4 linked regions of the Pelodiscus sinensis genome follow. The protein of the gene in region 3 purifies or fractionates together with the protein of the main gene of each other region. This does not show direct contact. Links are inferred from orthologs where the notes say so. Each region holds a gene or a part of one and is shown on either strand. Other genes may lie near its edges. The genes, in order: MAPK14, MAPK3, PTPN5 and ATP5PO.

Region 1 (7,416 bases), on a different chromosome or scaffold from region 3:
ATTGCACAATCTCTGAAGGTTCCGACACTCTGAAACAGGAAGTTAATGATGCAAATCCTTATGTTATATGGGTAATGGAAGGAAATATTTTTAAGTAATGCAAGCATTTTTTTTTTGAAAGCACAATGGGGGTTTGGAAGTAGGAGGAGATCTTGCTCATTATATTTCTAGTGTTGACCCTGCTGCAAGGCACTGAGCACCCTCAACTCATCATCTCAGGAAATAATCATCAACCAGCAAGGTCAAGCTCTTATCTTAGTACAGTACAGGCAGTCCCCGGGTTACGTACAAGATAGGGACTGTAGGTTTGTTCTTAAGTTGAATTTGTATGTAAGTCGGAACTGGTACATATTGTAGGGGAAACTCTAGCCAAACATTTCTCCAGAGCTCAGTTTTATTCTCCCACACCTCACTTCCCTCAATCCTTTATTCTCAAGCTGAGGTGTCTGCTGAGAAAAGCCGCTCCGCATCTCCCTGATCTGCTGGGGGGGCGGGGCTAGCTTCGCGTCTCCCTGGTCTGCTGGGGGGGAAGCAGCTAGTGCGGGGTTGCCTCACCCCATTTGTAAGTAGGGATCCGATGTAAGTCGGATCCATGTAACCCGGGGACTGCCTGTACTACAATTACACTTAGCATTTCTATACCAAAAATTTAGGGGGAATGCATTCGGTTAGTCAGCTGTCATACCAATTATTCATGCTGCTAGAACCTGTTTAACCTTTATACAAAGTATAAAAGACAAATGCTTAATATACTTTACTACAAACAAAGCAGTTTTAATAGATCTTATTTAAATGGAACAATATTGTAGAATATAATCAGCCTTTTTTAAAAGCAAACATCTGACAGGTTTTTTTAAAGCTACAATATATACATAGCAATTACTTTTCTTCATTCATATTTATTGTGAGCCCTGCACTATAGGTATAAATTTACAAATTGCATATAACTTCATTAATGCATGCTCACATCACAAATTAGGAGACCATTGTGTGGAAGCACTATTACAAAATCTTTATCGGGGTTTGACATAGTGGGTGAAAAACTTTAGACACTATATGTGTTCATACAGCATTAATGTATCTTTTAAAAAACGGTAAAGCCACCTAAAAAAGCTTTCATGCATCACTGTGATTTGACAACACCACTGAGGATAGTCAAGTAGATCAACTCATTTCTTTTTTTATATTATTGAAGAACAAAACTAATAAGTACTGTTGCATTAGCAAATGAGCAAAAATACTTGATATACCATGGGAGCTCAGCATCTTTGATTATGCTGCTGTAATTACAAGCAATTCAAACTATAGATACACGTCTTGTGTGTATTGGTTATACACATCTTATCTGTATTAGTTTAACTAAGGATTAAAGACCAGAATATTTTTCTTTGGGGTTATGTCCACGCTTTCACAGATCTGACAGCAGGACTAATGCCTAATTTTCTCAATCAGGAAAGACCACAAAATTTCCCCTCTGTTAACCTCCCATGCCCAATTGTTACCTGTAAAAGCACTGCTGGCAAGGCAAAAAAGAGAACCTCACAACCTTTTCCACCATCTCATTGTCACATAACAACCAATCACTCTTTAAAGTTACCCCAAATGCAACTTGTTCTGCAGCTCCAAGATGAAACTGTCATCCTGTTCTACAAAGCAAATTGCAGGGATTTGGCACACTCCACCTTTCAGTAACTCAAGTGGGGGAGGAGGAAAGTTTGTGCATTAATATCCTGGAGGAAAAGGGGGACAAGAGGAGTGTTCCCTGTAAACTGTACTAAAGAGATTCAATGCCAATGAGCTGATTCACAGTGCTTACAGCTAGGTTTTGTTTCCAATGATGTGATGGGGACTTAGGGACCTAGAGAGGGGACAGGTCTGCACCTCCCCTCAGGGGACCTCGGGCCGCCTCCGAGCTCCCTCACCACTTCTACATGTCTTGGTTCACATACAAATTTATTCAGCTCATGGTTAGAAAAAATGGTCCATGAACAGAAAAGACTAGAGGGAATATTAGACAAGACTCTGAAATTGCGTTTACCAGCCCCTGTCATGCGGTGCCATCTGGGGCACAGCACCAGCCAGACACTAGTTCTGCAGCGGTTTCTCCACTAACCCAGGGATGAAAATCCCCCGTGGGCAAGGCCGATTCAATCAGACCGGGGGCAGAAGGCGGGGAATGAACCCCAGCGAGCTGAGGGGGTCCCCCCCCGAGCTGAGGGGGTCCCCCCCCGAGCTGAGGGGGTCCCCCCCAGCTCCCCTTCAACTCATTCAGCGCCCTGCACGTGCACCGCCCGCCGGCATGCAGGAGCGGGGGAGAAGCCAGGCCAGACTCCCTACCCCCCCAGGCCGAGAGCGGAGCCCGCTGAGGAAGGGGTGCAGCTCAGGCTGGCAGACACCCCCCCACACACTCACCAGACGGAGCCGTAGGCCCCGGAGCCCACCGGGGACAGGTTCTGGTAGCGCTCGGGCACCTCCCAGACCGTCTTGTTCAGCTCCTGCCGGTAGAACTTGGGCCGCTCCAGAGTCATCGCGGCTCCGCGGCCCGCCCCGCCCGGCCAGGCGGGAGGGGGGACTCCGCCAGCGGCCCCAGCAGGGACGCCTCCTCCCCTGCCCCCTAGAGAGGGGACAGGTCTGCACCTCCCCTCCCCCCCCCCGCTCCGAGCTCCCTCAGCACGGCCCGGGCCGGGCCCCGTTGGCAGCCTCCGCGCGCCCCGGGCCGGGGGGTGTCTCGTGCAGCGGCGCCCGGGGCTGTCTCGCGCTAGCTGGGCTGGGATTCTCCTCACGCGCCCCGCGGCGCTGTCACCCCACGGGGCGGGACAGCGCGTGGACGGGAGGAAAGGGGGGGGGTCCTTAAAGGCACCAGATGTGAGTTGGTGGCGGGGGGGGGGGGGGGACTCCTCTCACAAACAGACCAGGGCAGGCGACGCGGGCGATGCCGGAGTGACCTCCCCCTCCCGGCCCAGTGGCACTGCCCAGGCTGCGTCAGGCGGCGCCGCCTGCTCCTCCCGGAGCGCAGACCAATCGATCGCGCCCCCTCCCCTGGCCCCGCCTCGCGAGAGCCTAGGCGCGAAGAGCGGCTATGACCCAATATGGAACCAGCGGCCGGGCGCTCCTGTCTCGCGAGAGCGACCCGCGACCCGGCGGGGGGCGGAGCGAGGCAGAGCCGCGCGGCCTGGCCGCAGGGGAGGACGCTGGCGCGGGGCCCGGCCTGGCTGCCCAGCCCTGGCGGCTGGCCACGTCCCCGCGGCCGTGCAGAGCCAGTGCCCGCCCCTGCCCCAGTGTGTCTGCCGCGTCCCCTCCCGCCCGCCTCTGCTGGGGGGGGCACTGTGCCCCTGCCTCTGCCGGGGGGGGCACTGTGCCTCTGCCTCTGCCGGGGGGGGCACTGTGCCCCTGCCTCTGCCGGGGGGGGCACTCTGCCCCTGCCCCTGCCTGGGGGGGCACTCTGCCCCTGCCCCTGCCTGGGGGGGGGGGCACTGTGCCCCTGCCCCTGCCTGGGGGGGCACTCTGCCCCTGCCTGGGGGGGGCACTGTGCCTCTGCCTGGGGGGGGCACTGTGCCCCTGCCTGGGGGGGGCACTGTGCCCCTGCCTGGGGGGGGCACTGTGCCCCTGCCTGGGGGGGGCACTGTGCCTCTGCCTGGGGGGGGCACTGTGCCCCTGCCTCTGCCTGGGGGGGCACTGTGCCCTTGTCTCTGCCTGGGGGGGGGCACTGCCACTGCCCCAGTGTGTCTGCTGTGTCCCCTTCTGGGCACTGTGCCCCTGTCTCTGCCGGGGGGGGGGTACTCTGCCTCTGCCTGGGGGGGGACACGTCCCCGCCCCTGCCTCTGCCTGGGGGGGGTACTGCCCCTGCCCCAGTGTGTCTGCCGCCTCCCGCCCGCCCCTGCCTTGGGGGGGGCACTGTGCCCCTGCTTCTGCCTGGGGGGGCACTGCCACTGCCCCAGTGTGTCTGCCGTGTCCCCTTCTGGGCACTGTGCCCCTGCCTTGGGGGGGGGGGGGGCAGTTCTCACGCCCGCACCTTGCTACGGGCTGGGCTGCAGGCCCCTGTTCAAGTCCGTGGGGCTTCGGCCTGTGCTGAGAACAGGCCCGCGCTCAGTCAGGCACCAGCGGGGGGACTGTCACGGGGCCAGGCTGCCGGTCACGGGCGGGGGCCTCGCCTGGACCCCGCTGGATTTCCCTGGGCAGGCGGGGAGGACGCTTAGAGGCGCTGTTGCCCCAGACGGACGCGCCTCCCTGGACGGCCCCGCAGCGGCTGAGCGCAGCGCCCCCTTGGTTGGACGCGGGGGGGGGGGGGGGGGTGCAGTCCCCGTTCCTGTGTTTCTCTCGTGCACGTTTCCCCGGGTGGCTGGGCCCCGCAGTCACCCCGCGGCTTGGAAAAGGGGGGGGGGGTGCAGCCGACACCCACGACCTGCGTTGCGAGGGGGCATTAAAACACCGGCTGGGGGGTGGCTGGTTGGTGCGTTACGCGCCGCGGCGTGCAGCGGGTACGTGTCCATTCATCCCGCTACCCAGTGCACAGCCCCGAGGGGGGGGTCAGACCGGGCTCCCCGTGGCGCTGGGGGGAGCGGAGCCGGGCGCTCCATGGGGGGGGGGTCTGGCCGCCGCGGAGGAGCGGGGGGAGTATCCCGAGCACCGCGCGCCCCGCCCCGGGGTTGGCAGTTGGCCAGGCCCGGCGGCCCCGCGTGTCTCGAAGCTCAGGCTGCCGCAGGTGAGCGCGGGGGTCCCCTGTTCCCGGCAGCATGCGCGGAGTTTGTCCCCGCCCAGGGCCGGGCCAGTGGGGGGGGCCGGCAGGGAGCCGGGGTCAGTGCCCCCCAGTCCCTTTGTAGAGCTGCCCGGCCACAGGGATCTGTGGACAGGAGTCCTGTGACCCCCAATGAAGTGGCCCTGGGGGCTGCAACAGCAGAGGGGGAGCTAACACCACTGCCACTTATGCCACCATTGCTCCGTGGACAGAGGACCTCCCGGCCACACTGCCCTGGCATGACACCCGCGGCGTGGGTGCACAAGTGCTGGTGATGCTGCACCGCCAGGTTTGAAGTGGTGGCCATTACAGGCGTCACAGTGTGGTTCAATGGCTCTCAGAAGAACCCCCCCCCCCTTGTACAAATTGTTTCAGCACCCTTCTCAGATGGAGTTACATCAGAGATGGATTTTTCCCTGGGCTTAGTCATTTAAACATTTCTTTTCAATGGGACACTCCAGTTCAATGACCCTCCTTTTTATCTTCAGTGTCATGGGTAATGTCAGTGGCTTTGATTCCTTCCTCTTGCCTTCATTATTCCTGTGTTTTTGACTGTCCATGATCAGGGTGACTGCATGGAGCCAGATGCTGAGACTGTCAGTGCTCCCAGGCAGCTAGGGAAGTACAAAATCAAGAGAGGCATATACACTGAGGAGCACTTTCAAAAGAACTATGAGAGAAACACACCCTCCCTAAGGAACAGGGACTTCATATTCCCCCGAGTCCAACGAAGGGTACACTGCCGGTGAGTAATATGCCAGGAATTATTTAGCAGATATGAAGAAGCTGAGGAGCCTGGTCAGGTACCAATCTAAACGCAACTACTGACCCTCCTGCTGCCCACAGCTCAGTACAAAAACACAGAGGGGACTGATACAAACCGAATCAAAGTGCCAAACCAGTGCTCTGTGTTTGGAGCAGCTAAGCAGAGACTGCTGTATGTGTTTGCCACCCAAGATGGAAAATGTTTTTGTGGCCCTCCAAACAACCAAGCAAAACAAAACAAAAGTCATCAAGCAAAAGTGTTGAGAAAAACACATACACCAAACAAGGATATGTGACTTCTGAATGGAAGATTTAGTGCCCACAAATCAGGGGTGGGGAACCTGGGGGCAGGATGCAGCCCCCAGATTGTATGAATCCAGCCCCCTTGGCTCATGACTCCCTTCCTGCCCCCAGCACTGGGGTGACCACACTAGCACTCTACCCCTGCCTCCCCCCCCCCATCCCTACCACCTCACCACAGGGCTTGAGCACACAAAATCTACTAGCCTGGACCCCCCTTAGGCTCTGGCGTGTGAGGAGGATGTGGGGAGTGTCTTTCTGCTTCTCATTTGGGGGCCATGTCAGTGAGAGTTGGGTGGAGATTTGCACTTTTCACCCACTAAATTTTCTGTAGGTCACCAGCCCCCGACCCAAAAAAGGTTCCTCACCCCTACCCCAAATGATAGTGTGCAGGGGGTCACCCACGTCTAAGGCCATGTGAGTCAAGCTTACCACAGCACTGGGAGAGTCGCTTCCAACAAACCACAATAGTCTGTTCATTTCACCGTTGTGATAATGGAGTACCTCTGCATAGTGTGGATGGATTCTGCTAATTGTTTCAGACTCCTCTGCACCTTCCTTCAATCCTAGCTGGCAGCCACAGACAAAAAGTTACACTGGTTTTTTTCTGGCAATTGTGTTTGCTATTTTGTTTAAATTCTCTCAAGTACCACGTTCAGTTCCCGACTAGAGATAAGATTTCCTAAGAGTATGGCAGAACTTGTACTACCTTCCTTCTGCCTTACTCTGTAGCTGTGTTGCTGCACTGTGATATTCCTGCTAGGATGGGTAAGGTGAGTATGCACATTCAGTATCAGTTAATATAACCCCAGCCTGTTCTTCCCATTCCGGACTTATATGCCACCTGGGCGCTCCAGTGGCGATTTAAAGCGTCCAGGGCTCTGGATGCTGCTGTGGCAGCGGTGGCTGGAAGTCCCAGGCTCTTTTGAATCACTGGGCCTGAGAGCAGTTGCCCTTTGCTGCCACCACCACCACTCGACAGCAGACCTACTTGGTTCTGTTCACTCCTTCCAAAGCATCTAGCACTGATTACTGTTAGAGGACAAGGTATTAGGTTTACATGGACTAGGGATGTTAAATATCGGTTAATTGAATAGTCGAGTAACCTCATGAATTCTTATCGGGTAGTCAACTAGTCAATAGTCCCCTTGCTGGCGGGGCTGGCAACCTCTGTATCAGAGGCAGCAGCACGAGGTGCCAGGCAGGAACTGGTCCACAGCAGCTTGGGGTAGCAGCAGACCCTATCTAGGGGGGTCGGAGCGCCTGGACACAGCACAAGCCAGAACTAAGTTGGGCTGCCTGACTCGTAATATACTTTAAATGAAGAGCCACAGGAGGGTTAGGTCCCGGACCCGGCGTGAGCCAGGACTGAGCTGGGCTGCTGGCCAGCCTGCTAAAATATTTACTTGCAAGGGAATGGGAGAGGGAAATGCGTGTAGTCTATAGCATTAATCTGTAAGCTTGTGCTTATTGATTAATCGGTTAATCGACTACACTATTACATCCCTAACCTGGACCATTAGTCTAATCCTAGTATGGCTGTACTTACATTCTTAAGAACATTAAGTCTGACATCCATTAGTCTGCCATTCCCATATTACAGAACATAGTACAGG
Region 2 (7,384 bases), on a different chromosome or scaffold from region 3:
CCAGCCCAAAGTCACAGATCTGCAGCGGGGAGGAAGGTTAGCTGAGCTGCCCGCCCCCCTGGAGCCCAGGGAACGCAGCAGTGGAGGCAGAGACACAGGGAGGTGTGAAGGGGGATCGGTGGGGGTGGGGCGCAGTGCGGGGGTGTGCGTGCAGCAGGGCTGAGGGCTGGTTGGGGACGGGGTGGGGTGTGACCGAGGGCTGGATGGGGTCAGAGGCATGGTCATGACTGAGGGCTGGTTGGGGGTGTGCAGCCGGGGGCGGGGCCTATGGCTGGTTGGGGGTGGGACACGCCACCAGGGGCGGGGTGGGAGCTGAGAGGGGCGGGGCCGAGGGCGGGCCCACCTTGAGGTCGCACGTGGTGTTTGATGAGCAGGTTGCTGGGCTTGAGGTCGCGGTGCAGCACGTTGGACTGGCCGGGGGCGGGGCGGAGGGGGCAGGGCCGAGGGGCGGGGCTGGGGCGGGCCCACCTTGAGGTCGCACGTGGTGTTGATGAGCAGGTTGCTGGGCTTGAGGTCACGGTGCAGCACGTTGGACTGGCTGGGGGCGGGGCGGAGGGGGCGGGGCCGGGGCGGGGCGGGCGGGGGCCACCTTGAGGTCGCACGTGGTGTTGATGAGCAGGTTGCTGGGCTTGAGGTCGCGGTGCAGCACGTTGGACTGGCCGGGGGCGGGGAGGGGCGGGGCGGAGGGGGCGGGGCGGGCCCACCTTGAGGTCGCACGGTGGTGTTGATGAGCAGGTTGCTGGGCTTGAGGTCGCGGTGCAGCACGTTGGACTGGCCGGGGGCGGGGCGGAGGGGGCAGGGCCGAGGGGCGGGGCCGGGGCGGGCCCACCTTGAGGTCGCACGTGGTGTTGATGAGCAGGTTGCTGGGCTTGAGGTCACGGTGCAGCACGTTGGACTGGCCGGGGGGCGGGGCGGAGGGGGCGGGGCCGAGGGGCGGGGCCGGGGCGGGGCCACCTTGAGGTCGCACGTGGTGTTGATGAGCAGGTTGCTGGGCTTGAGGTCACGGTGCAGCACGTTGGACTGGCCGGGGGCGGGGCGGGGCCGAGGGGGCGGGGCCGAGGCGGGCCCACCTTGAGGTCGCACGTGGTGTTGATGAGCAGGTTGCTGGGCTTGAGGTCGCGGTGCAGCACGTTGGACTGGCCGGGGGCGGGGGCCGAGGGGCGGGGGCGGGGCCGAGGGGCGGGGCGGGCCCACCTTGAGGTCGCACGTGGTGTTGATGAGCAGGTTGCTGGGCTTGAGGTCGCGGTGCAGCACGTTGGACTGGCCGGGGGCGGGGCGGAGGGGGCGGGGCCGAGGGGCGGGGGCGGGGGCGGGGCGGGCCCACCTTGAGGTCGCACGTGGTGTTGATGAGCAGGTTGCTGGGCTTGAGGTCGCGGTGCAGCACGTTGGACTGGCCGGGGGCGGGGCGGAGGGGGCAGGGCCGAGGGGCGGGGCCGGGGCGGGCCCACCTTGAGGTCGCACGTGGTGTTGATGAGCAGGTTGCTGGGCTTGAGGTCACGGTGCAGCACGTTGGACTGGCCGGGGGCGGGGCGGAGGGGGCGGGGCCGAGGGGCGGGGCCGGGGCGGGCCCACCTTGAGGTCGCACGTGGTGTTGATGAGCAGGTTGCTGGGCTTGAGGTCGCGGTGCAGCACGTTGGACTGGCCGGGGGCGGGGCGGGGGCGGGGCGGGGGCGGGGCCGAGGGGCGGGGCGGGCCCACCTTGAGGTCGCACGTGGTGTTGATGAGCAGGTTGCTGGGCTTGAGGTCGCGGTGCAGCACGTTGGACTGGCCGGGGGCGGGGCCGAGGGGCGGGGCCGGGGCGGGCCCACCTTGAGGTCGCACGTGGTGTTGATGAGCAGGTTGCTGGGCTTGAGGTCGCGGTGCAGCACGTTGGACTGGCCGGGGGCGGGGAGGGGCGGGGCGGAGGGGCGGGGCCGAGGGGCGGGGCGGGCCCACCTTGAGGTCGCACGTGGTGTTGATGAGCAGGTTGCTGGGCTTGAGGTCGCGGTGCAGCACGTTGGACTGGCCGGGGGCGGGGCCGAGGGGGCGGGGGCGGGGGCGGGGCGGGCCCACCTTGAGGTCGCACGTGGTGTTGATGAGCAGGTTGCTGGGCTTGAGGTCGCGGTGCAGCACGTTGGACTGGCCGGGGGCGGGGCGGGGCCGAGGGGGCGGGGGCGGGGCGGGGCCGAGGGGGCGGGGCGGGCCCACCTTGAGGTCGCACGTGGTGTTGATGAGCAGGTTGCTGGGCTTGAGGTCGCGGTGCAGCACGTTGGCCGAGTGGATGTACTTGAGGCCGCGCAGGATCTGGTACAGGAAGTAGCAGATGTGGTCGTTGCTCAGCTGCTGCGTCTTCAGCAGCTTGTACAGGTCGGTCTCCATCAGGTCCTGCACGATGTAGCTGGGGGCGGGGTCAAGGGGCACAACGGCCGCGGGGCGGGGCGCGCGCGGGGGGCGGGGCGCGCGGGCGCGCGCAGGGGCCGGCGCGGGCGCGCGCAGGGGCGGGGCAGGATACACGTCGCGCATGTGCTCGATGGCGGCGGCGCGCAGCACGTCGTTGATGCCGATGATGTTCTCGTGGCGGAAGCGCAGCAGGATCTTGATCTCGCGCAGCGTGCGCTGGCAGTACGTCTGGTGCTCGAACGGGCTGATCTTCTTGATGGCCGCGCGCGCCTTGCTCACGTGGTCGTAGGCGGAGCTGCGGGGACGGGAGGGGCGGGGTTAGCGCCGCGCCCCGCAGCCCCGGGGGGGGGGGCCCGGGCGGCGGGGGGGCGCTCACCAGACCATGCCGTACGCCCCCTCCCCGATGTACTGCAGGTCCGTGTAGCGCGGCCCCACGTCGAACACCTGCCCCTTCACCGACTCCACCCCCAGCTTGGGCGCCCCCGGCACCGGCCCGGGCCCCCCCGGGGCCGCCGCTGTCGCCGCCGCCATGGCCGCTGCGCTCCGATCCCGCTGCCGCAGCCGCACCCGGAACCGCCCCGCCCGACGGCTCTGCGCAGGCGCACGGGCTGCCCGACGGCCCGCGTCACGTCGCCGCCATCCGCTACGCGCCCGGATTGGAGCGCTGCTTCTGACGTCATCGAAAGGCGGAAGTGCTGTGCCCTGTCATTCGCTTCTGCCGCTTTAGGCCCCGCCCCCAGACCCAGTCTACGGTACTAGGCCACGCCCTCGCTCGAGGAGCTCCTCTCCGACCACGCCCACTGTTCCACCTGGCCACGCCCCTGCCCACGCCGGCACCTTGCCGGGTGTTCCCCGGCCCCCCCCCCCAGCCTCAGGGCCCCCCGGGTCTGATTCCCCGGCCCCTCCCCCCCCCCCCAGCCTCAGGGCCCCCCGGGTCTGATTCCCCGGCCCCTCCCCCCCCCCAGCCTCAGGGCCCCCCGGGTCTGATTCCCCGGCCCCTCCCCCCCCCCAGCCTCAGGCCCCCCGGGTCTGATTCCCCGGCCCCTCCCCCCCCCGCAGCCTCAGGGCCCCCCGGGTCTGATTCCCCGGCCCCTCCCCCCCCCCCAGCCTCAGGGCCCCCCGGGTCTGATTCCCCGGCCCCTCCCCCCCCAGCCTCAAGGCCCCCCGGGTCTGATTCCCCGGCCCCTCCCCCCCCCCCAGCCTCAGGGCCCCCGGGTCTGATTCCCCGGCCCCCCCCCCAGCCTCAGGGCCCCCCGGGTCTGATTCCCCGGCCCCTCCCCCCCCCAGCCTCAGGGCCCCCCGGGTTTGATTCCCCGGCCCCTCCCCCCCCAGCCTCAAGGCCCCCCGGGTCTGATTCCCCGGCCCCTCCCCCCCCCCCAGCCTCAGGGCCCCCCGGGTCTGATTTCCCAACACCCCCCAGCCTCAGCCCCGGGGCTGGTGGGGGGTAGTTAGGGGTCCCAAGCAGGGCATGGGGGACAGGTGGGGGGGTGCAAGGGGATGCTGGTGAGGGGTAGTTAGGGGTCCCAGGCAGGGCATGGGGGACAGGTGGGGGGGTGGAAGGGGATGCTGGTGAGGGGTAGTTAGGGGTCCGAGGCAGGGCATGGGGGACAGGTGGGGGGGTGGAAGGGGATGCTGGTGAGGGGTAGTTAGGGGTCCGAGGCAGGGCATGGGGGACAGGTGGGGGGGTGGAAGGGGATGCTGGTGACGGGTAGTTAGGGGTCCCAGGCAGGGCATGGGGGACAGGTGGGGGGGTGGAAGGGGATGCTGGTGAGGGGTAGTTAGGGGTCCGAGGCAGGGCATGGGGGACAGGTGGGGGGGTGGAAGGGGATGCTGGTGAGGGGTAGTTAGGGGTCCCAGGCAGGGCATGGGGGACAGATGGGGGGGTGCAAGGGAATGCTGGTGAGGGGTAGTTAGGGGTCCCAGGCAGGGCATGGGGGACAGGTGGGGGGGTGGAAGGGGATGCTGGTGAGGGGGAGTTAGGGGTCCCAGGCAGGGCATGGGGGACAGGTGGGGGGGGTGCAAGGGAATGCTGGTGAGGGGTAGTTAGGGGTCCCAGGCAGGGCATGGGGCACAGGTGGGGGGGTGGAAGGGGATGCTGGTGAGGGGTAGTTAGGGGTCCCAGGCAGGGCATGGGGGACAGGTGGGGGGGTGGAAGGGGATGCTGGTGGGGGGTAGTTAGGGGTCCCAGGCAGGGCATGGGGGACAGGTGGGGGGGTGGAAGGGGATGCTGGTGAGGGGTAGTTAGGGGTCCCAGGCAGGGCATGGGGGACTGGTGGGGGGGTGGAAGGGGATGCTGGTGGGGGGTAGTTAGGGGTCCCAGGCAGGGCATGGGGGACTGGTGGGGGGGTGGAAGGGGATGCTGGTGGGGGGTAGTTAGGGGTCCCAGGCAGGGCATGGGGGACAGGTGGGGGGGTGGAAGGGGATGCTGGTGGGGGGTAGTTAGGGGTCCCAGGCAGGGCATGGGGGACTGGTGGGGGGTAGTTAGGGGTCCCAGGCAGGGCATGGGGGACTGGTGGGGGGGTGGAAGGGGATGCTGGTGGGGGGTAGTTAGGGGTCCCAGGCAGGGCATGGGGGACTGGTGGGGGGGTAAGGGGATGCTGGGGGGACACGTGGGGGTGTAAGGGGGTGGAGGTGGGAGGGTGTATCTAGGTGAGCCGAGACAGGGCATGGGGAGATGGGTGTGTGTAAGGGGATGCAGGTGGGGGGGAGCTAAATGGGCCCAAGCAGGGCACGGGGGGACAGGCGGGGGGTGGGGTCCCTGTGCCCAGGCTCATACCCCTCTGCCACTGGCAGCGGATTCCCGCCCAGCCCCTGGCTGGGAAGTGGGAGGGAGTGTCCTGGCCCCTCCCCCCCCAGGCTGTGCTATCCCTGGGAGGCCCCACCCCCACCCTTAAAAGGTGCTGGTTTCAGCCTCCAGATTCACTGTCACACCAGAGTGCCTGGAACTGGTGAGAGCAGAGGCAGTGGGGTCTGATGGTTAGAGCGGGGGGGGGGGGGGGAGCCAGGACTCCTGGGTTCTTGCCCTGGGCAGGGCAGTGGGATCTGATGGTTAGAGCGGGGCGGGGGGGAGCCAGGACTCCTGGGTTCTGGCCCTGGGCAGGGCAGTGGGATCTGATGGTTAGAGCGGGGCGGGGGGGAGCCAGGACTCCTGGGTTCTGGCCCTGGGCAGGGCAGTGGGGTCTGATGGTTAGAGCGGGGGGGGGGAGGGGGAAGCCAGGCTCCTGGGTTCTTGCTCTGGCCGGTGGGTGGGAGGGAGGGAGGTCCTGGGCCCTCTCGGCTGACCCTTCCCGTCTCTGCAGAGTGATGCTGCTACACCCAGTTACCTACAGGTAGAGCCAGGGCAGCAGCCAGGCAGAGGGTGGTGGGGCAGGAGCAAGGGATAGCGGCAGGGTGGGAGAGAGGGGCAATGGCCGGGCTGGAGTGAGGGGCAGCGACGGGGTGGCAGGGCAGCTGGGCTGGAGTGAGGGGCAGAGTGGTGGCGGGGCTGGAGTGAGGGGCAGCGGCCGGGCAGGGGGATGGGGGGGGTGGGAGCGAGGGGCGGCGGCCGGGCAGGGGGCGGCGGGCGCGAGGGGCGGTGGCCGGGCAGGGGGCGGCGGCCGGGCAGGCGGCGGCGGCGGGCGCGAGGGGCGGCGGCCGGGCAGGCGACGGCGGGCGCGAGGGGCGGCGGCCGGGCAGGGGGCGGCGGCCGGGCAGGCGACGGCGGGGCGCGAGGGGCGGCGGCCGGGCAGGGGGCGGCGGCGGGCGCGAGGGGCGGCGGCCGGGCAGGCGGCGGCGGGCGCGAGGGGCGGCGGCCGGGCAGGCGGCGGCGGGCGCGAGGGGCGGCGGCCGGGCAGGCGGCGGCGGGCGCGAGGGCAGCACTAACGGCGCGTCTCCCCCAGCCGCCATGAGCCGGCAGGTGGTGCGCAGCAGCAAGTTCCGCCACGTCTTCGGGCAGCCGGCGAAGGCCGACCAGTCCTACGACGACGTGCGCGTCTCGCAGACCACCTGGGACAGCGGCTTCTGCACCGTCAACCCCAAGTTCCTGGCCATTGTCGTGGAGGCCAGTGGGGGAGGGGCCTTCATGGTGCTGCCCCTGGCTAAGGTAACCCCGCCCCCATCCCTGCTAGTGACCCCCTCCCCCCTCTGCCGGCCCAGCCCTGCCGGGGCCCCTCGCCAGCCCCGCCCTGCGCTTCTTAGGTAACTGTCTGCCCCCCCCTTTCTGTTTCCGGGGGGGGGGGGGGGGGCTGTTTTGTGAAACCGCCGAACATGCAGATCTTGACATTTTTGCCTTAAATGGCTCCAAACGTGAAGCGGGGGCGGAAGCAGCCGTGTAAAAGGGGAAGTGGGTTTGCGGGGAGGGGGCAGGTCTGGGACACCACAGCCCAGCCCCCCGTCCTGGTTCTCGGAGCCGTGGCAGCCACACCTGGGTCACCGTAGCCAGGAGCCCCAGAAATGGAGCAGGGGCGGGGGCGCCGGGGGAATAAAGGTCTGTGGTGCAGCTACAAAGGGCCCTGTGTCCTTCCCTGGCCCGGGGGGAGGCCGGGGCAGGATGCGGCTTTGGAGGGACCCTCGGCTCCCAGAACGCGGCACCTTGTGACTTCCATCGTGATGGGAAAGACGGGAGCAGAGCGCCTCAGCCCCTCCCCCTCCGTCCCACTCCCCACACCCGCCCCCCAGCCCCTGCCGGTCCAGCTCTGCCCCCAGCGCCCCCCACTGCAGCCCCTGCCCCCCCAGTGCCCCCCAGTGCCCCCTTTGCACAATGCCCGGGTAAGGTTGTCATGGGACTGCTGGGTTCGTGGGCCCAACTTTCCCCGTGGCAGGACCATGGGACGAGGCGGGAGGGGCGTGAGGGGAGAGCCAGGCCTGAGGCTGGTGCCCAGGAGGGCTGAGGCAGGCCCGGCCCCCGCCCTGCTGCCAGACTGCCCTGCTCTCAGGTTGGCTGCCCACTGGGGGGAGGGGCTCATGTCGCCTGCTGTGGGCACTGCAGGGGCACGGGAGCTGGGTTGCTTGTCACAGCCTGGCCCTG
Region 3 (7,085 bases):
GCCTCCAGGGGTCTCTCTGCCCTGGTCTACACTACTACTACCAAGCCCGTTATTTCAAAATAAGGGTCTGGTTACTTCGAAGTAATAACTCCTGCTTTCCACGAGGAAAAACGTTTATTTCAAAACAGCTATTTTGAAATAGCAGTAGCATGGACACTCTGCTGCTATTTTAAAATAACTACTCCCCAAAGTCATTCAAAGTAATGACTCCCTAAAGTGCTTCTTGGGGCTCTAAGTTGAGGTAGCATGTCCACATTAAGGGAGTCTGCCTCAGACTAATTTTGAGGCTTCCCTGTAGTGTGGACATGCTATTTTGAAATAGTTATTTCAGGAGTTATTATTTCAAAATAAATTATTTTGAAATAATTTCCTAGTGTAGACATGTCCTCCCATGGCTACCGCTTAACCCTCCTTTTTTCAACCAATCAACTGAGCTCTAGCACACTGCAAAGTTAAGAAACATGGAGATGGGCTTCCTTTTATTTCTTTGCATTTTTTAAAATTCTACACAGCAAAATGGCCCTTGTCTCATGGAAATATCAGGGCCTGGGCTAAAAAAAGTGGCATATAAATACACCCGTGACATTTTAGCAAAGGATTTGGCTTTATTTTAGTTAGATGGAAAAAGGCATTTTCTGTCTCATTTTAGTTTAACAGTGTTCCATCGATGTATGTGGTCACAGTTTAAATGCTATTAAACATTCTTGCTTCATCTGTATGACATCTAGCTGGCAGATCTCATTGTAACTTGTAATGAATGTTCTTTACAGGTTCAGACCTCAAATTACTGGCAGTAATGCTATACTCCGCCTGGACAGTGGGTCTCTACCAAAGATCAGTACTGTGAAAGAGAACTCCTCCTAATTCATTTTAGCAAAACAAAGTCACACATTTAGGGTCCAAATGCTTGATTGTGGGAGTCATCTTGTATATATGTGTTTAAAACACCCGGTTCGTGGGTTCCCATTCCGCTCCCAAGTAAGTCAATGGCAAAATGCCCACTGATTGCAACTAGAACATAAGACCCCTGAGGCATTAAGTGGAAGTGACTCTACTATAAATCTTTTAAACCCAATGTTTCGATACAATTATCTTTAAAAGTGTTATACTGTCTGCTCATCTCTGCATTCATAATTGGATGTCAGAAAACAAGTGTAGAGGTTTATGTTGGATTAAAATATCAAAGGACAAAATTTTGCCTTGAGTGATGAATACCCTGCCTACTGAAGTCTATGAGAGCTCTGTATTAGCGATCTGAATCTAATTGTTAATGTATATGATTCATTCAAGAAGTAAAGTTCTTAAACTGTTTGATCTGAGTGGAGCCAACAAATGCTGCCCTAAGTACACATGGCTATCATGACACAAAGAGAGGATATTGCTCAGGCATTACTTTGAAATCTGTCATAGATTAATCTAAAACATGCAAAGGGCCCAGATCCTCCAGGTGCTGTCAATCGGAATCGCTCTACTAAAATCAATGTAAGGAATTTAATGTAGTAATAACTGTGTAATGCAAGAGATCTAAAATACTGATTTAGTCTTCTTTCCCAATTGTGATGTAACAATTACCCCTTTACAGAAAGACCTATTCCATTGTGATGACCGTATGAAAAATCACCACGTTTTTAAAACTGTTTAACTGTAAACAAGCCAATAAACTGGCTACACTCACTGTTCTGTTCCACCCTCTGCTTTGTGCCCTCAAAAACCCTTACCAGCAATCCACCAAGCAGACCTGCAACTGCACAGCTTCCCAGAACTTCCAGTCCCCAGCTTCCCAGAACTTCAGTGCCTCTCCTAGCCTGCTCTCAGCACTGCCTTCTAGAAGAAAGTGACAGTCGACCATGGCGTTCACTGTCACATCAGTTCGCAAGGCAGCATTATTCCAGGAGAGCATCGCAAAGCTGTTGCCGTGGTTAATATTTTACTGCAGTGAGTAGTTATCAGGTTAACCACCCAGGATGTGATTCGAAACCCATTTTCCCCCAACCCTGGGTCCCGCCAGCTGCATTATGTTTAGCCTGCAAGACCCGTTCAACAACTAGACGTCCTGGGTTGGATTTGTATTTTTAACGCGTTACTTTTGATTTTTTTCTATTGAAAACAATTCCCTCCCCCTACACATACGCCAGAAAACCCCAGCTCCAGTTCGCAGCTGGAAAAGGCTGGACGAAAAGCGGGGGGGAGGGGTGGTCCGCACTCCCCTAAGTATTGGTGCCTAGGGAGGTAAACAGAGATGCAGAAAATGGGTTTTATCGATCACTCGGAATCCATCCGTCCGCCTTTAATGGTCCTTGCAAATTTACAGCCAGATGCAGGGAAATCGGAGCTGCTGCCCTGCATCCTGGGCTCCCCCCCGCCCCCCCGCAAAAAACAGACCCTATTGAACATCAATGGGGATTTATTTCGCGGCTGCTCGCCCTCCAAGGTGAAGCAACCCCTTTCCCCCCTTCCAGGTCCCTAGCCCTGCCCGGTGCTGAGGCTGCTGGTGCATCGCTCAGCGTGCAGCAGCAGCAGGCGGAGCAGCCAGCAGGGCGAGATGGAGCTGGGACGCGGCGGGGGGGAAGGCATCCAGTGCAGCGCACACACACACACAGACACACACAGAGCCCGGACGAACGCGCACGAACCAGCCAGTGCAGCACGATCTTGCCCCTCGCTCCAGCCGTGCAGCGCAAGCTGGTCCCCTAGCTCCCGGGAGCCGCCGCCGCGCTGCACAACCAGCCTCTTCTCGCCTTACTTCCCCCCCTCCCCACGCCTCCTTTCCCCAGGGCTCCCCGCAGCGCTGCCGCTGCAGTGCATGCTGCCCCCCAGCCCCGGCGCGCCACAGCCCCCTTTCCCCCCCCCCCCCCCGCCTCCCCGGCCCCGCTCCGGGCGCACAAAGAGCCCCACTCACGCCGCAGGAGAGCGCAGCCCAGCAGGGAGCGGGAAGGCGACGCGAGGGCATGTGTGTGTGTCCTGCACACACCGCGCGCAGCCCCCTCCCCCCTCCGGCTCCATGCAGGCGGCGAAGCCCCCCACCCTGCCGCGCGCGGCCAGTCCCCCTAGCACACGGCAGAGCTCCACCCCCCATTGCAACCCCCGAGCCTGCACAGCCCGCAAACGCTGCTGTCTCGTTCCCCTGGAAGCTGCAACGCTCCCCCCCCCCCCACACGCCACCCCATGCAAAACTTCCCCAGCCCCTGAGCCGCGTCACACCCCCTCCACAGTATAAAGCCCCACTACACGGGCACGAAGCATCCTCCCCGCCACCGGGCAAGGCTCCGTAGCTCCCGTTACACCCTGCGAAGACTCTCCAGCCGCCCCTACCCCTTCAGCGCGGTTCCCCATGGGGAAGCCTCCTTCCACACAGCAGCCCCTCTCCATACTGCCAAGCGCCCCGCGCCTCCTGACTCTGCATCCCAAGGCTGCAAAGCACCCAGCGCCAAGCTCCCCAACCCCGCCTGCCTGCTGCTAACCTCCCCCCCTCCGGCCCCATGGAAGGCAAAGGCAGCTCAGTCATGGCTGGACCCTGGGGGCTAGCTAGGCAGAACCTCTGCTGCAGGGAAGTTTCCCCCCTTCATTGTTTGAGATGGTTTCACAGCCAGAGATGGGGGAGGCGATCCCCACAGAGCAGGTGTGTGGTGCAGGACTGACTCCCCCTGTCTGTGCAGATGCCCCTGGGAAGAGCTGCAAGGCTGGCGCAGCAGCAACAACAGCCGCCCACCACCCCCATGAAAGCCGCGTTCTCCCCATCTCGCTCGCTCGCTTTCTTTTCAGCTCGCTGCCCTGATTGACAGGGAGCCTTTCAAAGGCCGCCCACACACACGTTTTCCCTGAATCGGAGCGCGATGGCGAAGGAGAAAGCATGAATGAAATATTCCGAGTGCAGAAGCGCCCAGGAGCAGGGGGCGGCCAGAGAGAAAAAGACTCCAGCCCCCAGGGAGCAAGAGCATCTGGAGCGCCCCCCCCCCCCCTTCCAGCAGCAACAGCCTCTACTGCAGTAGTGTGTCCTGGTTCAGCACACCCACAGGCCACAGGCACAGACAAATGCGCACATAACACCACAACACAGAGTGTTACACAGAGAGAAACAAATGTGGATAATATAAAGACACCGGACGTAAATTATGCTCACACACAAAGGGAGACATGCATACATTACTGGCAGAGAGAGAGAGAGGGAGATACAAACACAGAGGGAGACAGACATTCACAACCATTAGGCACAAATCACACACAAAGCTTACAGGTCCACACACTCTCAGGAACAGAGAGAAACATTACACATTAAGGCCCCTGTTCTGCAAATGAGGGAGTTGGTGGGCTTCTATGTCGTGAGCCTCACTGATGTCTATGGGGTTCTGCATAGCGCAGCCCTCCACCAATGTGGTACCTATAGCAGGATACAAGTCTAAGATAGACACACAGGACCAGACCTTCCTCAGATGTAAATCTGCTCAGCTTCAATGGAGCTACATCATTTTATGCCAGCTAAGGATCTGGTCCAAAATATCTGATCTGAAAATCTTATCTAGAAGTTACAGCAGGAAAGGGGGTGGGGGTGGGCGGGAAGGGGGAGCATGAGGATGGGGTTCTTTCTGCATCTTTGATGTTTACTTGTTTTGTGACCCTGAACAGTCACTTAACTACTGTATTCCTCCATTCAGCCATTTGTGAAAAGGATAGAACCATGCTTGCTAAAGATACACTTACAGATTAAAACTTCCCCCAAAGATTTGGCATTCACAGTGAGGGGTTCTGACCCAGGCACGTCACTTATTTACTTAAAGCTTAGAGATGTTGGGGGCTGTGTCTTAGAATCATAGAACACTAGAACCAGAAGGGACCTCGAGAGATCATCAAGTCCAGTCCCCTGCCCTCACAGCAGGACAAGCACCATCTAGATCAGCCCTGGGCAAAATACGGCCTGTGGGCTGGGTCCGGCCTGCCAAGCCACCATATCCGGACACTACCTGCACGCTGCTCAGTAACGCAGCTGCAGGATGTTTTTTCTTTAAAAACTGTGAGTCCAGAGGGGAGAGGGGAAAGATTCAGGAGCTGCTCCAACCCTCCAGCACAACCCAATTGTCCGGTTTCTGTCCAGAAACTGGCCAGTGGGAGCTGCCTGTTTCAATAACAGGCAGTCATGAAGCACAAGGGGCTCCAAAGCACATGGCTGCAGCCTGGGCAGGGGCGGAGCATGCAGCAGTGTCCAGGCAGCACAGCTTCACAGGTGATTAATCAGCCCCACTCAGTCAGAGGTTCAGGGCTCCCTGCATGGAGCTGACTTGGAGTGGAGGGGCTGGTTAATCATCAGTGAAGCTGTGCTGCCAGCCAGCTTAGAGGGAACACTGGCTGGCAGGAAGGCTGATTCAGGAACAAGCTGCTGGCTGGTAAGTCTCCTGGCCACACCCTGCCTCTGGCATCCCAGCCACACCCTTCTCTAGCCCTCTGCCCCCCACTCCTGTCCCTTACTGCACATACTCAAATCCTTTGCCTCCTCCTGCACCCACATCCCCTCACAGATCTGGCACCCTAATCTATCACAGTCCCTTCCTGCCCTACAACCCAAATCCCTACATCCCCTCCTGTACCCCAATTCCCTGCCCTAGGTCACAATCCAACACCCCGCATCCCAATCCAGTGTCCCAGGTCACAATTGCCTCATTCACCCAAACTCCCTGCCTTACCCCAAGCTCCCTTCTGCACCCAGATTCCATCCTAGATCCCTGCACCTTCTCCATTGATATCATGGAAGAGTGTGGCCCTCAACCACTTTCCAAATTTTTGGAGTGACCCCCCATTAAAAATTATTGTCCACCCTGATCTAGCTCATCCCTGGTAGATGTCTATTCAACTTGATCATAAATATCTCCAGAGATGGAGATTCCACAACCTCCCTAGACAATTTATTCCAGTGTTTAACCACCCTGACAGTTAGGAAGCTTTTCCTAATGTCCAACCTAAACCTAAACACTTCTGACTAATATTTAGCTTCCGGTCCACTGTTACCTCTAGATCCCTTTCTGCGGAACTCCTTCTAGACAGTCACTTCTCATTCTGAAAGTGTGAAACTGATTGTTCCTTCCTAAATGGAGTACTTTGCATTTGTCCTTATTTAACTTCATCCTATTTACCTCAGACCATTTCTCCAGTTTGTCCACATCATTCTGAATTATGACCCTATCCTCTGAAGTACTTGCAATCCCTCCAAACTTGGTATCATCTGCAAACTTGGGCTATATCTACACTGAAATTCTCTTGGGCAAAAACCTATGCAAATAAAGTGTGGATTAGCATATTGCCACGCTTCCTTTGCATAATTAATTAGGGACCGTTTTTGTGCAAGAAGCTTTTGCACAAAAAGGCGCTGTCTAGACTGCTCCTTTTTGAACAAAAACCCCTTCTTGCGCAAGAGGCGTTCTTCGAAAAATGTCTACACGGCTCCTTTTTGCACAAAACCTCTTGCGCAAAAACACACCCTAATTAATTATGCAAACAAAGAGTGGCAATATGCTAATCTATGCTTCATTTGCATAGGCTTTTCTGCAAGAGAGGAGCAATGTAGATGTAGCCTTAATAAGTGTACTCTCTGCATCACTGATGAAGATATTGAACAGAATGGGTCCCAAAACAGACCCCTGTAGCATCCCACTTTTTATGTCTTTCCAGCATGACTGTGAACATGTGTGTGTTAATAACTAGCAGGAGTGGGAAGGCGACATGAGTTATGTACCCATCTTCACTTGGTGCAGTCTACTGAACTCAAGGAAGCTACACTAATTTACCTCAGCCAACGATTTGGCCCCTGAGGTATAGGTAATATTTGTAAAGTATCCTTGAATTAAAATTTAGCATTTTTATATATTAGTAATACTTATTTGGAATTCTTGAATGGAAACACTAGTACTATTATTTACCTATATCTCTCCTACAGTTTAAATTGAATACAGTACTTTTTCTAAACTCTCAGGTAATGTTGTTGAATATTGTTTGCACGTTGCACCCCAGAGGTAGCTGCACTTGGTGGTGTGTAATCTGATTCTTCCCTGTAGTCATGCAGAAGCAGATTCAAAGCTGGTATAAATCAAATTAGCTCC
Region 4 (7,971 bases), on a different chromosome or scaffold from region 3:
AAGGTTCTCAATAAGTCCATGAGCAGAGTAAACACTAATGTGTTTCCTCAACCAATCAGAATCTAGTTTCTATTTAAAAAAAAAATGAAAACACAGAAAAAAAAATACGGGAATAGGGATTGGAAAAATTATACAAGAATAAACCTGCAAAAATATGCTATGCCAGAGCAAGTAGCAGTAGAGATCATTCTGGCACTCTGTGCCACAAACATTCATTAAACTCATTGTTACAAATTCAAGGCCTCATTGTGTAGCAATAAAGATGGATTATGATAAACAACTGACTCAGAGATTTATTACTGCTTTTTAAGGAAGTGAATAAGACTATATGTCATTTATATGCAGTCTGCACTAAGAACATTCCTAAGGCATTGACAACAGAAAGGATGTAAAAAAAAAAATTTCAGATATATAGATAGAATGCAAAATTCATTTTTATGCTTTTCAAGATGGTATCCAGATTTGACCCCTTTGTGGCAAAGCAGATATTGCTCAACCTAGTTAGGACAGAATAATATGAGGACATTAACATTCAGATATTAAAATATTGCAAGAGAACCCAGTTAAATCTTTACACTGAATGCAAAGACATTATACTTAGCACTTTAAGTTTCAAATTTGTATTTACATTTAAGTTTAATATTTGAGGATTTTGCTTCCCTAATTTACATACCCAATTTGTGATGTCTTTTATCATCCCTGGCCAATAATAGTGTGAGATCAGCAGAATTCTCATGTTAACTACTCTTTGATGTCTGCTCTGTAGACTATCATGATACTGTTCAAGAAGTCATAAGGGTTGTTTCATGGTGTGTACAACTGCAACCTTTATTCCTTCTGCAGAATGGCAGAATGTCTCCTCTGCTAATCAGAGATTAAGCTTTGCACTTTAAAAAAATCAGATATTTTCAAAGACATATAATATAAGAGATATCTGGATATAGTATGGATTATCAAGGCTTGAATATAAAGGAATTTCACTATGTGGTTAAAATTACATGTTGAAATTTATTTAATACTAGAACTCATTACTCAGTGAACGTATATGGGTTGTTACCGTTTGTGGTTACACTGGATAACATACTTAAGAAATACAAAGTTAAAGGATTTTTTTGTTAATATTTATAATTTATGTTCATTTCCATGTAACTGACAAATACATTTGTTACATTGCTTCCATATGTAGCTAACGAGATTTTCTAAGAAGTTTGAAGAAAGACAGTGATCCTAATCATAGCCCCATTGAAAGTAAGGTTAACACTTCAAATAATCCCAGCGTTGGGAAGGCAGGGATCAGGATCGTCACCTATATGCTGAAAATTCCATTGTATTCTGTTTCTTTATTATATGAAAAAAATATTGCTTGCCTTTTAAAGAAAAGTTGGCAGAAAATAGACATAAGTTAAACCTACCCATTTTAATTGTTCCTTTAAGATGTGTTACTTCTCTTATACGTCAAAACCTCTGCAATTTTCACCTGAAAAGATTTCCCCGAGTATTGTTCACAGAAGAAAACATTTCACACAGTTAACATTTACAAAATAGCAAACATGTAGTATCTAGCCATATAATAAGACTTTATTTTGTAAGTATGATGTGTAAATTGCAGACACAAGCAGGGTAAGCCAAACTCAAAAATGCAGCATTCCAAGGCCAATCATAAGAGTGATGGATGTAAATTTGTGCTATGTGCATAAAGTTAGATCACCTTTAAGATTTTAGCCAATTAAAGTCTTAATAGCTCAAGACATGAAATATAACAGCACAAAAATATGAATTTCCAAAAAAAATTGGTTAGCAGGCATCTGGTTTTCAACTACAAAACCCAGTCAAAAAGAGACTGGCAGCTCTGGCTGGCACTGCCAAACAGGAGGTTAAAAGTTCAACTGGCAACGCAGAGAGAGCCTGGGGCTAAGGCAGGCTCCCTACTCGCCCTTGCTCCACATCAGGGCTGGCCTTACCATGAGGCGAACTGAAGCAGACACCTCAGGTGCCAGACTGGAGGATAGGGGGCACCACTAGGATAGAAAATTGTGTCTGCTGCTGGTGCATATGTAGGTAGCAGAGCAGTCCCATGAGAGGAATAGAACAGGAAGAAGGCACAACTGAGACCTTTCAAAGTTTTGGCCCAAGCGAGGGGGCATGGGGGCATCATTTGAGCTCCCTGCCTCAGGTGCCACATGGCCCTGCTCCACATGGAAACAGAAAGCATTTCCCTCCAGCTCTTAGGGGAAGATTTGGTGACCATTTGTCCCGTTTTTAACAGGACAGTACCTTATTTAAGCTGTTTTGCTGGTGTCCTGACTTTAAAAAAAGCGGGAGGGGGGCAATTATCCTGTGTTTCTGCTCCCCCTGCTGGTCAATGTGCAGCAGAGGCCTCCTGTTTGTAGCTGGCAGATGATTGCAGGCAGGCGGTGGCCAGCAGATGGTGCTCTCAGGCAGGGTGCAGAGGCAGAAAGACAGGAAACCAGTAGGAGAGCCAGCCCCCTTTTCTCACACAACTATTAGTATTAACTATTTATAACAAAAAAAATCCATTCTACCTTGTTTTTAGTTGAGAAACTTCTAACTGACCATAGTAACCTAGTGTTGCAAGTTTCCAGAGTGCAATCTATATTCACTTCTTCCTTATCAGTGCAGCTGTCATTTTGGCAAGTTCAGGAATGTAGCCTTGCGCATTCAAAGGTTCTGCAGACACTGCTGATCATCCCAAACCTGTATTACAACCCAATCTCACCAGCTGGAATTTGTTTCTCAGGCCCAGAACCATTACTCCACCATCTGCAGCTGCTCTGTGAATGCCACCACCAAGTGTGAATTGATCGTTGCTATGTCCCACAGCAATCTCTCCTGCATGGAATCATCTCCCTCAATGTCTATTCTCCAGACTCAGTAAATACTGCAGGATTACACAGCTTGCAATGCTCATGCCAATAGTGCAGAGTTATGCAGGTTCTATGCTTCTACCAGAGGTGACAGACAGTGAGGACGGCCATGCAGGTTTGTGGAATTTAGGGAAAATGGTGCAAAAATGATGTATAATGTTACATATGGACAATGTATGAAATTAGGGCATGGTGAACACTGCATTATGGGAAGCTGATCTCTTGATCCTAGTCACCCCAGTGCAACCCATTTTGGTCCCAGTACAGGTTGCCAAAACTTCCCAAAAATACAGTGCTGGATGGTGGCAAGTTGCACAGTGAGCTATCTATGCTGCTCCATGTTCTGAATCAATATAAGTGGTTCTGGTGAGTACACTCACCACTGACACAAAAAGTTAATAATGGCACATGCCACCGTGACATATTAATTGTGGCAATTCTATGCTGATGTAACTTTTGTTAACATAAGTTTGCTGCATAGATATGGCCTTTGTTATACGCAATGTTTGGAAGTAGCAACAGGAAAAGTATGCAATGGGTTTCAAGAGTCATTCAGGTGTTCAAGTTCCTGCTTTTGTGGAGCTGGCCCTAAAGGTTTTGGAACAAAGAGGCATAATAGAACACAATATAATTTATTTTGTTAAAAATTTAATTACATGAAGGTATATATCTCATGATTTTGTAATTCTTGTGGTTGTCAAGCTATGTCAAGGTTGTAGCTCTGTGCTTATGTTGTGAAGGCCAAAACTATAACTGGGTTCAAAAATAATTAGATAAGTTCCTCAGGATAGGTCCATTAGTGGCTATTAGCCAAGATGAGCAGGGATGCAATTCCTCTCTAGGTGCCCCTAAACCTTTGACTGACAGATGCTGAAAGTGGATGAGAGGGGTTGAATCACTTGACTGCCTATTGTAGTCCTTCTTTGGAAGCACATTGGAAGACAAGATATTGGGCTAGGAGAATTAGTTTAACCAGATAAAGTCAACCTTTTGTTCAGCAAAAATTAAAATAGGTTTTTGCCTTTGAGAATGATTTAATATGATAGTATACTGTCCCTTACTGACTATTTGAGAATGAAGTTTTACACACAAGAAATGAGATGCAAAAAAGCATTGAGGGCTGGAGTGAGGCAAAATAGCAGTTGCAAAAGGCAATTCTCTTTAATGGATCAAATGAAAACAAAGTTTTGACACCAGGCTAGGCAATCTATCCGACTGGCAGCTACAATGATCCATCCGAATAAACTTGTGCTATCAAAACAAGAAGTGAAAAGCAAAAATTCCAAAATAAAAATCACAATAAAATATATAGTAAAGCTATTCTAGAAACACGGCTGTCATTGCTAAAGCCACTAGCAACTATTTACTTGTAAGTACTTTCAATGAATATTTACTATGCACATAGGCATCCACTCTGCAGTTGCACCTGGAGGATCCAAGGGGGAAAAGAAGAACTGGCGCTTACGAGTAGCTGCGGGTGCTTTGCAGAGAGCTGCTCTCTTGTAAGTCTGTGCTACCGGTAGCAGTTTCTGATCCGGCCGCCAGCTGTTCTGCAGCTTGCAGGGGCGGGGCAGGGGCTGGAAGAGGCGGGGGCGCTGGGGAAGGGGTGCAGCGCAAGGAGCGGCGCGGAGGCAGCAGAAGCCGGGTGGCCGCGCTGAGAGCAGCACGCGGCGCGGGTGGCAGGCAGCGCGAGGCAAAGGCGCCCCGCTGCGCAGCCAAGCGATTGTTAGCAGGGGCGGCAGCGGGGCAGCGATTTGCCTCCCTGCAGAACTGACGCGCATGGGCACAGCAGGGCCAATGGTTAGCCAGCGGGGCCCTGCGCCCCGCCCCGTAGCGCCTGCCCCGGGCGTAACTCCTCCCCCTCCCACCACTTCGCTCCTCCGCCCCGCCCCGCCCTCTGCTGTACAGCGCAGGCGGCAGAACCCGACCCTAAGTAAGGGCGGGGCAAGAGCAGCGGTTTTGGGATTGTTACCGCGCATGCTCAGTCGAACCCAAACGGCACCACATTCTTTCTACGCCTGACGTAGGTAGTGTGGGGACGTCTCGGGGCTTCCGTACCCGGCTCATAGCCCCGCAGCGTGGGCTCTTTCCGCCTGGCGGCTCACGTCACGTTCTCCGCGCCGCCCGCTGATGAACTACAATTCCCAGGAGTGAGCGGGGCTGCAAGACTCGCTCTCCCAGCGTGCCCCGCAGCGGAGTGTGCGCATGCGTCCTGGCCGCTACCGAGCCAGGGCCCCGCTTTGACCTACAGTAGCAGGAGACGATGGCGGCGGCCGCGGGGCTCCCGGGGAAGGTGACCGGCAGCGCCGCCCCCGCATCCGGGCTCGCGGGGAGGAACAGGGCCTGCCCCCCCCCCCCCCCCAGTCCAACGGTTCCTCGGCGGCCGTTGTCGCCCCCCCACCCGCGAGCCAGGCTCGGGCTCCTGGCTTCGGCGGGACGTGGGGGAGGCGGGTTCGCTCGGGCTCGCCAGGCGGCCCCGGGGGGTGGCGCGTGGCCCAAGCGCGGGCGGGAACCCGGGGTCGCACGCGCCGGGCCTCGGGCCTTTCCCTCCGGAGTCGCCTAACTCGAGTTTTCCGTCTCGCCCTCCTCCAGCTGCGCTTCTTCAGCACCGCCCTCGCCCGGCCCGCCGCGCCGCTCGTCAAGGTGCGTCCGCTCGCTCCCCCGCCCGGCCCCTTCCCCCGCCCCGAGCTTCGCTGCCCCGGGGCGCGAGTGCGGCAGCGCCGCTGGCTGGGGACAGGCAAGTGCCGCTGTGCGCGCCTAGGGGGACTGCCAAGAGCGTCTGTGCCGCCCGCACCTGAAAGGCGGCACCGGCTTCAATGGGGACGCCTGGCGTGGAACAGACTTAAACCCCTGGAGTGCCCTGGAATAGCAAGTAAAATGCAGGACTATGTAGCACTTTAAAGACTAACAAGATGGTTTATTAGATGATGAGCTTTCGTGGGCCAGACCCACTTGCTCAGATCAAAATGGAATAGCAACGCTGCTTAACTGAGCTGCCTATAAGTTATGTTAACGCAGCTTATGGTTAAGCTGGTTATTTTTGGTTGAGTTTCTCTTGTAATTCTGAGATGTGAAAAAATGAAGTATCATATTGCTGCCAGCTTTTGACTCTTCCGTGTTGTTCCTTTCTGGTATCACCCCTTGACAGAGTAGGTGAATGACGGGGTAGAACCCTTTTTTCAGTACATGCCTCCTAACCCCATACTGTCTGTTGAGTACTAGGAGGGATTTTCTGTGTGTCTGTACCTTCCAGTGTAGCAGCAGCAGCAGAAATGCTTTCTATCAAAAACGGAATTCCTTTTACCAGGGCTTCCTGTTTAAAGTGATTTGAGTGACCACTCTGCTGCAATCCTTCTGGCATTCTAACTAATTGAAACTGTTTTAACTGTGTGAAGTTAAGCTTGATGATTCTACCAAAGAACTGTTCAGAAAACTGAGTTAAATAGTGTATTTACTGGGGTCAAGATTTTCAAGTGATTAGTAACTTTGGGTGACCAGCATAACATTAATAAAGGACCCAGCATCAAGGATGGAAGAGGGGCTGCTAGGAAGGTAATATAAGATAGGGACAAAGAGCAGCCTGAGCCACCTGTTTGCGTGGTGCTGAGACTTTCTAAGTTTGAGGGCTCTGAGAACTGCCTTTGCTGTATTGATATGGGCTTTCTGTTTTACACTAGTGACTGAGTATCAGAGGAGTAGCTGTGTTAGTCTGATCTGCAAAAGCGGCGAGGAGTCCTGTGGCACCTTATAGACTAACTGAAGTGTAGGAGCATAAGCTTTCGTGGGCAAAGACCCACTTCGTCTGCATCTGACAAAGTGGGTCTTTGCCCACGAAAGCTTATGCTCCAACACTTCAGTTAGTCTATAAGGTGCCACAGGATTCCTCTCCACTAGTGACTGAGACTCGATTAGTCACTACCTTCTCCCCCCCCTCACCTCCACCAGAGGCAGCAAGTAGAGGTGGAGCAGGAGCAGGAGCTGGTGCTGGGGGAAGCCGGCTTAAAATCCAGTTGCCCCTAGCGCTGTCTCTGGGGGGCAGGGGAAGCAGAGGCACAGCGGGGGAAACAGTGCTAGTGGGATTTAAGCAGTCCCCGCTCATGGCTGCTATTTCCACTGCAGCGTTTCAACACTGTTGGGCTCTTGCTACATTTCAAAGGCTGAAGTGCCACAGTGGGATCATGGGGTGAGTGGGAACTGCTTGAGCCCCCCACTTGCCCGGTGCTCCCTGCGGTGCGCCCCCCTCCCCCCCCCCCCGGAATACAAGCCAGTGCTAGGGGGAACCAACTTAAAAGTTGAATCCTCCCAACAGTGTCTCCGGGGTGTTCTCACATCTTCTCTCCCCCCCCCCCCCCAATCAGAGGCAGCGGGGGGGGGGGGAGGAATATGGGGGCCCCTGTCTGTTGGAGCAGCCTCTGTTCAAAGCAGCCAGGACTAGTTGTGGGCAGGAGCTACTAGATTCCACACAAGCTGGGACCAAGTAGTCCCAGCTGGCATGGTTGCTGTGCCTCTACATTTTAAATGTAAGACCCCAGGGGCTCTTACTACAGTAAACTTCTGATAATATGGCACCTTTAGGACCCAGGAGGTGCCGGATTATCAGATTTGCCGGACTATCGTAAGGGGGGGGCTATGAGGAGTCTGGGGTGGGGGGATGCCACCCCAGGCCCCTCATAGCCCCCCCCTTACGATAGTCCGGCTCTGTCCCAGGCGTCCCTGATTCAGCTGCTGCTGGTCAGTTTCAGCAGCGGCTGAATCGGGACACCTGCAGCAGAGCAGCTGGAGTGCTGCCGGGTTGGTCCGGTAGTGCCGATCCTTGGCACGGCGAGACCAACCCGGCAGCCCCCCAGCTGCTCTGCCCCAGGTGTCGTGATTCTGCCGCTGCTGAAACTGACCAGTGGCTGACTCCGGGAAGCCTGAGGCAGAGTTGCTGTGCCCCAGGCTTCCTGGAATCAGCCCCTGATCAGTTTCAGCAGCGGCTGACTTGGGTACACCTAGGACAGAGCAGCTAGGGCACTGCTGGATTAGTCTGGTAGCACCAACCCTTGGCACTGCGAGACCAACCCAGCAGCACTCCAGCTGCTCTGTC

The links.
Region 1: the proteins of PTPN5 (region 3) and MAPK14 purify together in Homo sapiens (affinity purification with mass spectrometry; 3 studies listed by BioGRID and IntAct, with this or other methods). This does not show direct contact. The link is inferred for Pelodiscus sinensis from reciprocal best matches to the Homo sapiens genes PTPN5 and MAPK14.
Region 2: the proteins of PTPN5 (region 3) and MAPK3 purify together in Homo sapiens (affinity purification with mass spectrometry; 4 studies listed by BioGRID and IntAct, with this or other methods). This does not show direct contact. The link is inferred for Pelodiscus sinensis from reciprocal best matches to the Homo sapiens genes PTPN5 and MAPK3.
Region 4: the proteins of PTPN5 (region 3) and ATP5PO purify together in Homo sapiens (affinity purification with mass spectrometry; 3 studies listed by BioGRID and IntAct, with this or other methods). This does not show direct contact. The link is inferred for Pelodiscus sinensis from reciprocal best matches to the Homo sapiens genes PTPN5 and ATP5PO.

Annotation. Positions count from the first base shown.
Region 1 is NC_134737.1:12,871,968-12,879,383, reverse strand, and holds the start of MAPK14 (mitogen-activated protein kinase 14), read right to left. Parts: upstream 3,010-7,416; 5' UTR 2,529-3,009; coding exon 2,413-2,528; intron 1-2,412. Other genes in the region: SLC26A8 (testis anion transporter 1), read left to right, coding at 5,311-5,480. UniProt on the Homo sapiens protein: Serine/threonine kinase which acts as an essential component of the MAP kinase signal transduction pathway.
Region 2 is NW_027465967.1:94,755-102,138, forward strand, and holds the start of MAPK3 (mitogen-activated protein kinase 3), read right to left. Parts: upstream 3,018-7,384; 5' UTR 2,911-3,017; coding exon 2,756-2,910; intron 2,675-2,755; coding exon 2,492-2,674; intron 2,378-2,491; coding exon 2,188-2,377; intron 20-2,187; coding exon 1-19. Other genes in the region: CORO1A (coronin-1A), read left to right, coding at 6,263-6,460.
Region 3 is NC_134714.1:113,848,596-113,855,680, forward strand, and holds the start of PTPN5 (tyrosine-protein phosphatase non-receptor type 5), read right to left. Parts: upstream 3,016-7,085; 5' UTR 2,900-3,015; intron 2,750-2,899; exon of another isoform or gene 2,634-2,749; intron 2,000-2,633; exon of another isoform or gene 1,719-1,999; intron 1-1,718. UniProt on the Homo sapiens protein: May regulate the activity of several effector molecules involved in synaptic plasticity and neuronal cell survival, including MAPKs, Src family kinases and NMDA receptors.
Region 4 is NC_134711.1:183,989,610-183,997,580, reverse strand, and holds the start of ATP5PO (ATP synthase peripheral stalk subunit OSCP, mitochondrial), read left to right. Parts: upstream 1-4,962; 5' UTR 4,963-5,148; coding exon 5,149-5,178; intron 5,179-5,477; coding exon 5,478-5,528; intron 5,529-7,971. UniProt on the Homo sapiens protein: Subunit OSCP, of the mitochondrial membrane ATP synthase complex (F(1)F(0) ATP synthase or Complex V) that produces ATP from ADP in the presence of a proton gradient across the membrane which is generated by electron transport complexes of the respiratory chain.